Arabidopsis thaliana: one gene and its partner. The protein of the gene in region 1 purifies or fractionates together with the protein of each later gene. This does not show direct contact. Each region holds a gene or a part of one and is shown on either strand. Other genes may lie near its edges.

Region 1 (6,392 bases):
AAAACGTATATATGAGGTTTCATGGATCTTAAGGACATACACATATCAAAGCTGGTGATAACAATTAAAACCCAAAATAAAACAAAGAAGTTTTCTTTCAAAAGATTTACCGGATCTAAAAGCTAAACTGACCCATATGTCCGATGGATCCTGAGAGATCGATGGATGGTGATCAACCTTAACTAGTTAGGGTTAGAATAAAAAGACATAACCTTTTTCAGATACCCACAAGACAGAATTTGGTTTCTTGATCTTAAGAACAGACACAAATCAAACATGGATGATCTTAATCATATTACCCATGAAAACCTAGGTTTTCATCATTAGGAAAACCGAATTAATGATCTTGAATGAATGGATATACGTACCCGACATTGCTGAACTCGTAGAGCTTGCCACCGGTGGAGAAGATTATGAGAGAAACCTCTGCATCACAAAGAACAGAGAGTTCGTAGGCTTTCTTGAGCAAACCACTTTTTCTTTTGGAGAAGGTTACTTGTCTAGTGATCTTGTTCTCAATTCTCTTCACTTCCACTTTGCCTCTTCCCATCTCTCACTCGCTCTCTCTCTTCTTTCTACGTTGTTTCTTGTCTTTAATATCTCTCAATGTTGGAAGTTTACATGTACATATCAATCAAAATGAATTACTTTAGTTCTATTGCTGGATATACGTAAAAAAAAAAAGCGTATTTATTAACCCTATAGTTTCTCTTTTTCTTATCAACCTATTTCAACCCTACATACATAGTGGAACCGAGTTTTATCTCAATAGGACAATATCTCATCATAAATTACAAAGTTCTCATTTCAATTACCATGCAAGAAGAATTCACTTTCCGTTTATTAATTATAGCTAGAGTGTAAAATGGTAATGATCTTACTGTTGTTTGACCCAAATGAAAATTCTTTTGGTATATAAAAAATTAATTGATAGGAACAAAACGAAAACTTTCTCCTACCTAGAATTAGAAGTATGGAAATACAGTTGGACCACTGGAAAAATCATCATTATTTCTTTTAATATCAGTATTTGATGACATATTGTTCAAAGTTCAAACTGGCACTCAAGAAAAATTGATATTCTTTTTTGATATGCAACAGTTGGACCAAACCTTTTTACTTAATAAAGTTTACATCTATTGTGATTCTTCAAACTAACACTTATATAAAACTGTTTTTTTTTTGTTCAATGGCTATGATTTCGTCAAGGTTAATTTGTACATGTAAACAATTAAACGTTCATCCACTAAATGTTGTTCAACCTGAACCGATGTGGAGTCAGTAAAAAACATATAAGACATCGACCCTAATGACAAAAAACAGAGTGTAACTATATTACGTGTGTGAAGTTTATTACTAGTTCGGGAAGTTTTAATTGGTCAAAAGGCGCAGGAAGGTTCATCATTTGTTGTTGAAAAGTTGCATTCCTTTTCAAAAGAAAAAAAAGTAAGGTTTTTATGAAAAAGCCTTTCAAGAGAAAACAAATTTTGGTTATATCTTATTTATATGGTTTGACAACTGAATCAAACATTTACCAAGGTTGTATTTGATCATTATTACTAAAAATAAAATCAGCTAAAAAAAAACCATTACTAGGTCTAGTTACAGTGTTACACTGTATTGTAAATCATTTAGTAATAAACCAAACAAATTACTATCATCATTTTTAATTTGTGTAGTCATTACATACATGCAAAATTGTAAATTAAATTATAAAATCATGCCATACTATACTGCTAGATGAAAATTGAATTGTCATATCAAATTAAAAATTAATGTATTTTCATGAAAACTGGAAAAAAAAAACTATTAAATTAGAAAGGCGAAATTCAACGTGACGCATCTATCTATATAGGCTTGGGCTTATAATATATACAAAAGCCCAGTTAATTATTAATGGGTCGAAGTCGAAACTTGAAAGCAAGCAGTGTCATCGTTCTATTTATCATCAGCCCAAAAAAGGAAGAAAAAACAAATCAATTTTATGTTCGTTTGGTATAATATCGATTTTAATTTTAACCAAGTAAACCGGATAGGAGGAGATTCGTAAATTGTAATCGATAAAAGAGATCTGTGTCAAAAGTACGCGTGAGGTTCTCTCTTCTCTGCAAACAAAAATCCTGGCGTTGATAGCGATTGGTTAATTGTCGGTGAATCAACGTTTTTCTGTTACACATATCAATCAATCATCATCCTCTTCATACTCTCTTCTTCTTCTTCATCGTAATCATTAGCTTCAATTCCGAGTTTTCTCTTCGTCGCCGTTGTGCTAGAGTTTTGTCAGATCTCGCCGGGAAATTAGCAATGGCGTTTTAGTCTGTTTACCTGTGAAGCTTTTGCGTAAACGCTGGATTCTTCTCAAATCTCTCTCACCTGATCTCTTATTAGATTCCGAGTATGATTTGTTTCTCTCCTTCATTATATTCGGGTTGCTTCCACGATTTCGTTGCTTGATTTAGTTTTTTTTTTGAATTTGATAGGGATGGCGCTAAAGCGAGGGCTATCTGGAGTTAACCGGATTAGAGGAAGTGGTGGTGGATCTCGATCTGTGCTTGTGCTTCTCATATTTTTCTGTGTTTTTGCACCTCTTTGCTTCTTTGTTGGCCGAGGAGTGTATATCGATTCCTCAAATGGTATGCATATATTGCTTATCTTTCTATATACTAATTTGCAGATTCATGTATAGAGATTCAGAAATTCTATTAATGATTGAGAACATTAGCATAGTTTTACCACTCTTTAGTTTTCAGCCTTTACTATCTCAATTTTAAGTTACTTTTAGCTTGATGTGACACTGATGATATTCAGACAATTGCTATTTTTCTAGACTGGCAAAATTGGTTCTTTGCTATTTTACTATCGAGCTTTGGTTTCAAGGATTAGTGTCTCTCGATTTTGTGTTACATATATAATTTATCTGCGAATTGTCCATCTGATGGAGCTTACTTTCATTACTGCAGATTATTCAATTGTTTCTGTGAAGCAGGTATGTCGGCTTAAACTCTATCAAATTATCTACTTGTATGTTTTGACAGAAGTAAGAATGTTGTTTGATTGGACTGTTTTTTTTTGTTTTTTTTGGCAGAATCTTGACTGGAGAGAACGTTTAGCAATGCAATCTGTTAGATCTCTTTTCTCGAAAGAGGTAGTTTAAATCTTTGAAACTTTGCTTCGATTTATTGTCTTTGTCAGTTTTTCTGAGACTGGATAGTTTCTTACTAAATTTGTTGTCCAGATACTAGATGTTATAGCAACCAGCACAGCTGATTTGGGTCCTCTTAGCCTTGATTCTTTTAAGAAAAACAATTTGTCTGCATCATGGCGGGGAACCGGAGTAGACCCCTCCTTTAGACATTCTGAGGTGTGGTTTAAGTGTCTCATTTCTTTTCTAAGCTTCTATTCTCAATGATGTTTTCTCATAGTTTTCATCTTTTGCTGTACTTGAGGCAGAATCCAGCAACTCCTGATGTCAAATCTAATAACCTGAATGAAAAACGTGACAGCATTTCAAAAGGTAGTGGCTTTTAATTTAAGTGGCATCTCTGATTTGACGTTTTCCATCTCTGATTCTTCTATATATTGCTGATGCAGATAGTATCCATCAGAAAGTTGAGACACCTACAAAGATTCACAGAAGGGTAACTATTATTTATTAAAGTTCAATGTCATGATGCATCAAATACTCTTTAGGGACTTCTTGTGTCTTTAGTATTTCATTATCAACATTTTTTTTATCCATCTTGACATTTCAGCAACTAAGAGAGAAAAGGCGTGAGATGCGGGCAAATGAGTTAGTTCAGCACAATGATGACACGATTTTGAAACTCGAAAATGCTGCCATTGAACGCTCTAAGTCTGTTGATTCTGCAGTCCTTGGTAAATACAGTATTTGGAGAAGAGAAAATGAGAATGACAACTCTGATTCAAATATACGCTTGATGCGGGATCAAGTAATAATGGCTAGAGTCTATAGTGGGATTGCAAAATTGAAAAACAAGAACGATTTGTTACAAGAACTCCAGGCCCGACTTAAGGACAGCCAACGGGTTTTGGGGGAAGCAACATCTGATGCTGATCTTCCTCGGAGGTAAATTACTCCTTTTGGTTTCTACTACTTGCCTTTTTTCGACTGCTTGTGTACTTCTTAAAGTAACATGCTCTCTAAATTACTTTTCATATAGTGCGCATGAGAAACTCAGAGCCATGGGTCAAGTCTTGGCTAAAGCTAAGATGCAGTTATATGACTGCAAGCTGGTTACTGGAAAGCTGAGAGCAATGCTTCAGACTGCCGACGAACAAGTGAGGAGCTTAAAGAAGCAGAGTACTTTTCTGGCTCAGTTAGCAGCAAAAACCATTCCAAATCCTATCCATTGCCTATCAATGCGCTTGACTATCGATTACTATCTTCTGTCTCCGGAGAAAAGAAAATTCCCTCGGAGTGAAAACCTAGAAAACCCTAATCTTTATCATTATGCCCTCTTTTCCGACAATGTATTAGCTGCATCAGTAGTTGTTAACTCAACCATCATGAATGCCAAGGTAAAATCATTAGCTCTTATCACTTGATTCGTCCTAATATCTGTATGTTTAATTTTAGATACGCATTGCAGAGCTGAAATTAAAAATGTCTTTATTCCCTATATGTGCAGGATCCTTCTAAGCATGTTTTTCACCTTGTCACGGATAAACTCAATTTCGGAGCAATGAACATGTGGTTCCTCCTAAACCCACCCGGAAAGGCAACCATACATGTGGAAAACGTCGATGAGTTTAAGTGGCTCAATTCATCTTACTGTCCTGTCCTTCGTCAGCTTGAATCTGCAGCAATGAGAGAGTACTATTTTAAAGCAGACCATCCAACTTCAGGCTCTTCGAATCTAAAATACAGAAACCCAAAGTATCTATCCATGTTGAATCACTTGAGATTCTACCTCCCTGAGGTTTATCCCAAGCTGAACAAAATCCTCTTCCTGGACGATGACATCATTGTTCAGAAAGACTTGACTCCACTCTGGGAAGTTAACCTGAACGGCAAAGTCAACGGTGCAGTCGAAACCTGTGGGGAAAGTTTCCACAGATTCGACAAGTATCTCAACTTTTCGAATCCTCACATTGCGAGGAACTTCAATCCAAATGCTTGTGGATGGGCTTATGGAATGAACATGTTCGACCTAAAGGAATGGAAGAAGAGAGACATCACTGGTATATACCACAAGTGGCAAAACATGGTAAATAACTCTTTAATTCTTTGCAACAAATAGTCTAATGATGGTTTATTATTTTATTTATTGTGGTTTGCTCATTTTGGCTTGTGTTGTTTAGAATGAGAACAGGACACTATGGAAGCTAGGGACATTGCCACCAGGATTAATAACATTCTACGGATTAACACATCCCTTAAACAAGGCGTGGCATGTGCTGGGACTTGGATATAACCCGAGTATCGACAAGAAGGACATTGAGAATGCAGCAGTGGTTCACTATAACGGGAACATGAAACCATGGTTGGAGTTGGCAATGTCCAAATATCGGCCGTATTGGACCAAGTACATCAAGTTTGATCACCCATATCTTCGTCGTTGCAACCTTCATGAATAAAATCAAATCTTTGTTAGATGATTTGAGGTAATTACTTCTAATGTTCTGTTGTTCCCATTCCATTGCTCTTTATTCCACACATTGTTAATTGTTTATTCATATCGTTTTTTAGTCATTCTTTTCTTCTCTTCTTCTTTCGGGTTAAAAACACTTATGTTATTTTTTGAGTTTTTCTAATGATAGTAATATGTTTCTGGAGATTCTCTTGATGGTCTTGTGAAAAAATTGAAGAACACATACTATCTCTCTATTTACTATATACTGTAAGTCAAAATAATAATCCAATTTTTTGTTGATGTGTCATTAATAAATAAATAACTATCATTAATAATTGGATTGGTTACACATTTTAAATTTTATTTATGTTTGGATATCCAATTTTTTTTTTTCCATTGCTAATTTAATTGTTATCATTATGATGTTCATATTCTTTTCTTGTATTGGATCATATTGTATATCTTTATTTTCCAATTGTAAATATTCAAAATAATATATTTTCTTGGAAAAAAATCTATTGTGGTTTCTCTTTTTTTATATAAGCAACTATTTAATGGTAATATGACATATAATAATAATTTAAAAAATTAGATAGTATTTAGATTTTAGACTATTAGTGGAAAATTTTACAAAATAAATAAATCCCAACTATGATAGAAACCCAAATTGAGTGAAAATAGAAGATGGGCTTTAAATCGGACCGACGCTTATTGCTTACTAATACAAATCGCCCTTCCTTAAGGTCTGAAGACGAAACGAAGAACAAACACTGAAACAAAAGAGAAAAATCCCAAAGC
Region 2 (7,734 bases), on another chromosome or scaffold:
TCCCTAGATGAAGTCTAATGACTACGATTCTCTCTAGACTAGCTACCTCAGCTTTCAAACTATGATGATCCTTGGAGAATCGTGGTCTTTGTAGCTTTAGGACTCTTGCCATTGCACTCTACTGGACCGGGTAACAAGATGCAGAAAATGATATGGAGAGCTTGAAGAAAATACCCAGAAACTATGCATTTGAATGAAGAAGCACAAGCAGATGCAGGACATCCTTTCCTACATAACATTCTGCTGAACTTCCAACACAAAGCTCACAGAGGACAAACCTCAACTCCCATATTGATTAAACAGTTGTAATCTTGGTGCAGAACTGTAGATTCCAAGATAGTCTGCAGTTCTTATCTAGGAATATGGTTTTGGTAAGGATAAAAAGTTATACCAAGTTTGAGCTGATCATGACCCAGTGGCCTTCCTAAAGGTTAGAATATATGAAGAGACAAATCCTAAATGTATGAGTGTACAGTGTTCATACACATAATACTGAAAAATGAAGATTTGAAAGAAGTATGCAAACAGGCAAACACGATCAAGGAAAGAGATACAAAAGAGGTTTAACAAGATTCCATTTACATCCTAGACAACTTCACCTCTCAGAAGGCCGATATGAAACAATATAAAGTAGAAAAAGATTAAACTTTCAAGCTTCAACTAATATTCTATCATATAGTAGCAACTGCCAGTGACCATTTTATTTCAAGTAGATCACAAAAATAAAGACAAATGTCTCAAAGTTATATCCATTGATCGAAATCCAATCAACACAACTAATAAAACAAGAGAAAACCAATGACGCAAAGACAAATTCCTCTAACCTTAACAAGATCATCTCAACTTCTCTTTACCAGAGCTCTTCCTAGCCGCAGCATTCATAATCCTCTCCAAATACCCTTCAATAGGTGGAGTAAGCGTAGCCGTACCTCGACTCACCGGAAACGGAGTCAAATCACGCACTAAAGCCGCCTTCTTCAAATTCTCCGGCAATGCCTCAACCGCAGCGTTCCTCATCTTCATCAAACTAATCTCCGCTACACGTCTCGCTCTATGCTCTCTCATAAGCACTCTACTATACTCTTTCGCAAGTCTAATCCCATCCTCCACTGTAACCTTATACTTTGGTAACTCATCTTCCGTAAAAATCCCTAACGAAATGTAATCCAATCCTGGAGTCCCAATCCTCATCGGCGCAGTAGTAACTCCCATCGTAAAGGATCCACCTTTCTTCTGAAAATCAATCTCTTTTTGCCTCGCTTTACTGATTAGCCCTAGCTTCTCTCGTCTCGCTTCTCGCTCTCTTTCCTTAGGTCTCAGGTAACGAACAGGACAAGGAGCGTTTATGCATTGATCTGAGATTCTTCCTTTTCCCTTATCCACCTCATCACCACCTCTGCCACCGCCGTTTCCACCGCCTTTTTTGATTGTGAGTTTGTTGCGTTTCAATGATTGGCCTGTCTTCAGCTTCGATTTTCCTTTGGGGGTTCCACTAGCGTAACATTTCTGGAGAAGATTGTAACTCACTGAGTCAATTATAGGTTTTGGTCTCGCGAATCTGATCATTTTCAGATTCTGATTTCCTCAGAGCTCTCTCTGTTTGAAATGAAAATGGTGATTGAAGTTGATCTGCAAGGTTTAGGGTTTCAAGGTACGCCGTCGTTTCATGAAGTGTAATTTAAGTTCAAATCGAGGGTAAATCGGTAATATCAGGTAGTGTCATCAAACTCACACTCATTTTTTAGCCTTCTCTCTGGTTCGTCGTCTGGTTCAAAAGCTATAGATCGATCCTAGGCTTACCTCAAACCTCAGTCTCCGTTGACTACTGAGACTCGTCGACCTCTGATCCGCTTCTTCGACTATACGGATCTACTTCCGATCTGTAAGAAGCTTAAATCTTCGGTTGATTTTGGAATCCATCCGTCGTAGATGTGTAATTGTATTGATTTGGATGAGTTTATCTGTTTTTTTGAGTTTTCTTATGCAGTGATGATGGCCGGAGGTAACGTACGGTTTCTGGTTTTGATACTCGCCGTAGCAATTTGCGGTGCTGCTTCTGTTTTCCAGCCGATCTCAGACTCTCACCGATCTGCGGCTCTGGATGTCTTCGTACCAGTCGATGGATCATACAAAAGGTTGGTTTCTCTATCTTAAGTCGGCATTGCTTTGATGTAGGGGTTTTAACCACATTTCACCGATTACATATTGGTTGCTCGTTAATGTTCATGAATGGTTTTTGTACGGACTAATCTGATTTTTATTACTATCAGCTTGGAGGAGGCATATGAAGCATTAAAGACTTTGGAGATTCTTGGAATTGATAAAAAGTCTGATCTTAGCTCAAAGACTTGTGAGAATGTGGTTAAAGTTCTTCAGTCGTCTTCTTCTACTCTTAAGGATGCATTTTATGCGTTAAACGTTAATGGGATTCTAAAATGTAAAATTGGTGAAGCTGGTCCTAAGGTAAACAATTGTCTCCTCTCAGTATCATAATTTTAACTATTAAGCGGCTAAAATAACCTTATCTTTTCCTCTTTTGAAGGACATTGTTTCTCAACTTCAAGCTGGTGTTAAAGATGCGAAGCTATTGCTTGATTTCTATTATTCTGTCAGAGGCTTGGTGCTGGCTAAGGTAAATACGAGTTAAAACTTTTGGTGGACATCTTGAGTGAGATTGACTACACCCTTTTTCCATAGAGTATTTCTAGGAGAGTTTTCTTAGTTTTTCGTGCATTATGTTGAAGTATGAAAATGTTTTGGCAGAAGGTACCTGTGATCGTGATTATTTTATTTTATTCAACTCCATAGCTTTGGCTTCCTGACTTTTCTTTTTCCTGGCTTCAAGTTTGACCTCACTGTTCCATGAATGCAGGAGCAATTTCCTGGAACTCATATAAGTCTTGGAGATGCCGAAGCCATTTTCCGTTCCATCAAGGTTTGAACTTGTTTAGCTGACCTTCAATTTTGTTGTTGTTGAACTATCAGATGTGACATTCATACACTGTCTTTTTGGACTATCAATTATAGACTCTGGTAGAAGTATATATATATTTTCGATATGTTACCAAAACTCAGTTACTATATTAATACTACTTAGATTGTTTTCCGGGTATTATTTGGCTGATATAGTGCATTTGTATCAGTCTCTTAGCCAGAGTGATGGAAGATGGCGCTACAGCTCCAACAATCCCGAATCAAGCACTTTTGCTGCTGGTTAGTAGTACATATTGGATTAACCCTTACCTAACGTTAATGATGAGCCTTTTAGATTATGTATCCCTTCCTTTCTTGCTTCAGCTTGTTCACTTCTTTTGCTCTTTGTTATTTCACTCATTCTTCTCAACATGCGATTTTTTTTCTCAGGCTTAGCCTATGAAACGCTTGCTGGAGTGATTTCATTAGCACCTTCAGAGTTTGATCCATCTTTGGTAAGTGAGATGTTTAATCCACTATACTTCTGATTTCCTGAGAATATATTTTGATGAGATATCACTACGATATGTTGGTTTAGTGATGATCTACTTTTGCTTCTGGAATCTCTAAGTAACTAAAATAAAGAGTTTTGTTTTGATAATTATAAATTCCAAATCTTAGCTACAGGGAATTGTGATTTGATAATCACAAAGAAAGATTCGTGTTTTGATAATTATGCATGTCCACCTGACTTCTCATTTGGTTATTCTGGTGGTTTCTTTTTCATTTTATCTGGTAGTTTATTAATCTTGGTTATGTAATGATCGTCATTCATGTTTGTCCTCTGTTAGATCCAGTCGGTGAAGACGGGTATCCTGAAGCTTTCTGACAGTATCCAAAAATATGGTATGCAGTAAATTACTTGCTATCCTATGTATTGCATGTTATATTCTCTTCACTCACTTCATAGTTTTTGCCAGCTTGGGTTTTGCATATGTGGGCTTTGAATTATTATTTTTGGTCTTTTAGATGATGGGACATTTTATTTTGATGAGAAGTCTGTTGATGCAAGTCAAGGCCCGATCTCAACAACTGCATCAGTTATTAGAGGGCTCACGTCATTTGCAGCTTCAGAATCCACAGGATTGAACGTATGTAATACCCATGTTTTCATGTATCCTATTCTGACAAATGTGTTGATAGTTGACCTTCGCATTCCCATTATCTCATGCAGCTTCCAGGTGATAAGATAGTTGGTCTGGCCAAATTCTTTCTGGGTGTTGGAATTCCTGGTGATGCCAAGGACTTCTTCAACCAAATAGATGCACTAGCTTGTTTGGAAGACAACAAGTAATACTACTTTCATGCCCCTTTGTGCATTTTCTTTGTGCATTTTCTTATTAGTTTATTTCAGTACACATCTTAGAATCATTTCAGTAACCTTGAATTGAGTGGTGTGAAAGACATAAGAGTTACAAGGACTTACTGTTACTTCCATTCTTTTGTGTTAAAGTAAAGTTGCTTATGAAAGAGAAAAACTGTTTCTCTTTACATTGTTAGAATTTTGAACAAAATGATTACCGAAGAAATGATATCTGTAGGGAAAGAGTAGAAGTTTAAAACTTTGAACACTTGTGAAATTTCAACCACTTGCTCATTTATTATGGTCTAGCTGAAACTTTATCATTCTATGGGAACAATAATTTGCTCTATGGTCATTCTCTATCATTTCAGGTTTTCTGTTCCACTCATCTTGTCTCTTCCATCCACTGTCATTTCATTGACAAAGAAAGAGCCTCTGAAGGTACCCATTCATAAGCTTGCATCAAGATTTGACTTCTAGTAGTGAAAGTCTTAACTTTGGACTTTCTGGCTATAACGGTTGGATGTTGGATTCTAGCTGGTATTTGGTTTAGAGATTGCTCAGGCTCATAGCATTGCATCTTTTTTGTAGAGATCTCTTATCTATTTGATAATGACTCATTTTAGTTGACCCTTCATCCATTACATTTTTTCTTATTTTAGATTTTTTTTCTCTTTATCTGGAACTAGGTTAAAGTTAGCACTGTACTGGGTTCGAAGGCACCAGCTCTTAGTGTGAAGCTTACACAAGCTCTAAGTTCTAAGTCAGTGGATTCATCTGTAATTAATAACCAGGTAAATAATGTATCTCTTACTGTTTGAGCTTGCAATAGAAATGTTCCTTATTCTCTGCATTAGGCCGGTTTACATTTTTCCATTACATTTTTGGGGTACAGGAGCTTAAGTTTGACGCTGACAGTGCAACGTACTTCCTGGACTCCTTTCCCAAGAACTTTGACATTGGAAAATATACTTTTGTATTTAAGGTATTGCACTTCTTTGGTTTTACTACACCCAAGACTTCATATAAATGTATGATGACAACATGATAAGCTTCGTTTTCTGCAGATTGTGCTGGATGAATCAGCACATGAGAAAGTATACATAACTGAAGCTCAAACAAAAGTGCCTATAGCTGCCACAGGAGCTATTAGCATTGAAAATGCAGAAATTGCTGTACTTGACAGTGACATTGGAAGCGTTGAATCTCAGAAAAAGTATGTCACCTGTATTGTTGATGAACAACTTCCTTTTTTGCTTATTTTGATTGATTGCTAATTGCTTAACCATTTTTCTTAGGAAACTTGTACCATTATTGCTTACAATATATATTTCAAACTTTTTGTTGTTGTGCTTAGTGTCTTCTTTTTGTTTATTGGTTCTCTCTGTAACATTTGTAGGCTAGATTTAACTAAAGATGGAGCGGTATCATTATCAGCAAACCACCTTCAAAAGCTACGCCTGTCATTCCAGTTAACTACTCCACTTGGCAATGCGTTTAAGCCACACCAGGTTTGTTCATTCTTGATTTTTCGCTTCATCAATGGTTATATTCTGTTCTATTCACTTTCTTGACTTGCTTACTTCCATGCAGGCATTTTTCAAGCTGAAACATGAGTCACAGGTCGAGCATATCTTTCTCGTGAAAACTTCTGGAAAGAAGTCTGAATTAGTTCTAGTTAAGTTCCTTCAACTTCATTTAAAATTGCTTTTGCAAAAAAAGTTTAATGATCAAGTTTGGTGAAATTAATGACGTCCTAAATACAATATTAATGGTTAATGTTATTTTCTTACCTTCAGGATTTTCTTGGATTGGTTGAGAAGCTCTACTACCTCTCTGGTAAATATGAGATACAGCTAACCATTGGAGATGCTTCTATGGTAAGTACTTTACTTTCAGGTCCAATGCAGTTGATGATTTATGTCTTCTGAGATTTGAACAGTGTTATTTTCCTTTCTCTTTTCCCAGGAGAACTCTTTACTGAGTAATATTGGTCACATTGAACTAGACCTACCAGAGCGTCCAGAGAAGGCGACTCGTCCTCCTCTACAGTCTACTGAGCCTTACTCAAGATATGGGCCAAAAGCTGAAATATCACACATATTCAGGATTCCTGAAAAGCTTCCAGCAAAGCAGCTCTCACTAGTTTTCTTGGGTGTTATCGTTCTCCCATTCATCGGTTTCCTGATTGGGGTCAGTCTCCCTTTGCTTGTAAATAGTATCCGAAAAACATCATCACATTTCTTTCACTACTCATATATATTTTTTATGTTTCAGCTTACGCGGTTGGGAGTGAACATAAAGAGCTTCCCATCGTCGACTGGATCTGCAATATCCGCTTTACTTTTCCACTGCGGAATTGGAGCTGTTTTGCTTCTATATGTGCTATTCTGGTTGAAGGCAAGTTTTCATAACCGATTATTGTTTGTTTGATCTACAGTTGAATCATTGCATCAAATCACAATTTCTTTGTTTTGTTTGTTTGCATTCTACAGTTGAATCATTGCATCAAATCACAATTTCTTTGTTTTGTTTGTTTGCATTCTACAGTTGGATCTATTCACGACTCTCAAGGCACTTTCTTTGTTGGGAGTGTTTCTGTTGTTCGTGGGACACAGAACACTATCTCAACTTGCATCAGCATCAAACAAGTTGAAATCTGCTTGAAGAAGAAGAACTCACTATGAAGGATCTTTTTTTGGTTTATGCGTATTTTCAGTTTTGTAGTATTGCTTATAGATTATGGTGATAGACAAATTCAAAAGAAGTTCAGAGTTTACATACTCTCTCAGTTTAGTCTTAAAAAGTAATCAAGAGTCTCTTTCCTTAGCTTTTTTGTTGAACCAAATCAACTAAGATAATGATTAGCTCATGATTAGATCACATGAGTTTCTTAATTATTCACACTTTATGAGTGTTTGTGGAAAGTTAAAAGGTCTAACAAAATTTTGAAATAGGCTGGCCATAAAATCGAAATGAAATTTTATATATAAAATCAAACCGAATTTCATTCTAGTCAAAATAGAAATAAATGCTGATAAAAATGTAGAAATTACTTTGGGTAGAAACGAGTCAACGAAGGAAATGTATTTGGTATTTGACCCTTAACATGGCAATGGCAACGTTACAACTTTTTTTTTTTTTTTTTTTTCTTGCATCGTTACAACTTCACAAAACTTTACAGTTGATTGGAAAATTAAATTTTAGAAGAAAAAGCACGTAGTTGTCTTTTCAGACAATTATTTGTTCATCTTGAATTTGTGTCCCAAGAACATATCTCTCTCTCTCTCTCTCCTCACCTTGGTAAGAACGTCCAATCCAATCTATAAATCTCCTTGATGGAATTTCCGTACATATTACTTGTTCCTTTCTGATCTCTTCTTCATCGGTTTTATGTTTCATCGAGTTTGAATATTTCTTTGTAAGTCTTTTCCTGTCGGTTATGTTTTCGTCGTTGA

What was found.
Region 2: the proteins of GAUT1 (region 1) and HAP6 purify together in Arabidopsis thaliana (affinity purification with mass spectrometry, with the first as the bait; one study listed by BioGRID). This does not show direct contact.

What each region holds. Positions count from the first base shown.
Region 1 is NC_003074.8:22,619,917-22,626,308, forward strand, and holds GAUT1 (galacturonosyltransferase 1), read left to right. Parts: upstream 1-1,995; 5' UTR 1,996-2,395; intron 2,396-2,480; 5' UTR 2,481-2,482; coding exon 2,483-2,633; intron 2,634-2,960; coding exon 2,961-2,986; intron 2,987-3,085; coding exon 3,086-3,145; intron 3,146-3,235; coding exon 3,236-3,361; intron 3,362-3,450; coding exon 3,451-3,514; intron 3,515-3,591; coding exon 3,592-3,638; intron 3,639-3,752; coding exon 3,753-4,087; intron 4,088-4,181; coding exon 4,182-4,539; intron 4,540-4,649; coding exon 4,650-5,228; intron 5,229-5,322; coding exon 5,323-5,598; 3' UTR 5,599-5,892; downstream 5,893-6,392. Other genes in the region: AGL13 (AGAMOUS-like 13), read right to left, coding at 369-550. UniProt on the Arabidopsis thaliana protein: Involved in pectin biosynthesis. Catalyzes the transfer of galacturonic acid from uridine 5'-diphosphogalacturonic acid onto the pectic polysaccharide homogalacturonan.
Region 2 is NC_003075.7:11,276,657-11,284,390, forward strand, and holds HAP6 (ribophorin II (RPN2) family protein), read left to right. Parts: upstream 1-1,772; 5' UTR 1,773-1,882; intron 1,883-1,974; exon of another isoform or gene 1,975-1,987; 5' UTR 1,988-1,989; coding exon 1,990-2,135; intron 2,136-2,270; coding exon 2,271-2,463; intron 2,464-2,542; coding exon 2,543-2,632; intron 2,633-2,872; coding exon 2,873-2,935; intron 2,936-3,143; coding exon 3,144-3,213; intron 3,214-3,363; coding exon 3,364-3,428; intron 3,429-3,764; coding exon 3,765-3,819; intron 3,820-3,942; coding exon 3,943-4,064; intron 4,065-4,147; coding exon 4,148-4,263; intron 4,264-4,647; coding exon 4,648-4,717; intron 4,718-4,965; coding exon 4,966-5,070; intron 5,071-5,171; coding exon 5,172-5,261; intron 5,262-5,343; coding exon 5,344-5,492; intron 5,493-5,675; coding exon 5,676-5,787; intron 5,788-5,869; coding exon 5,870-5,953; intron 5,954-6,075; coding exon 6,076-6,156; intron 6,157-6,244; coding exon 6,245-6,469; intron 6,470-6,553; coding exon 6,554-6,676; and 4 more. Other genes in the region: AT4G21140 (copper ion-binding protein), read right to left, coding at 835-1,566.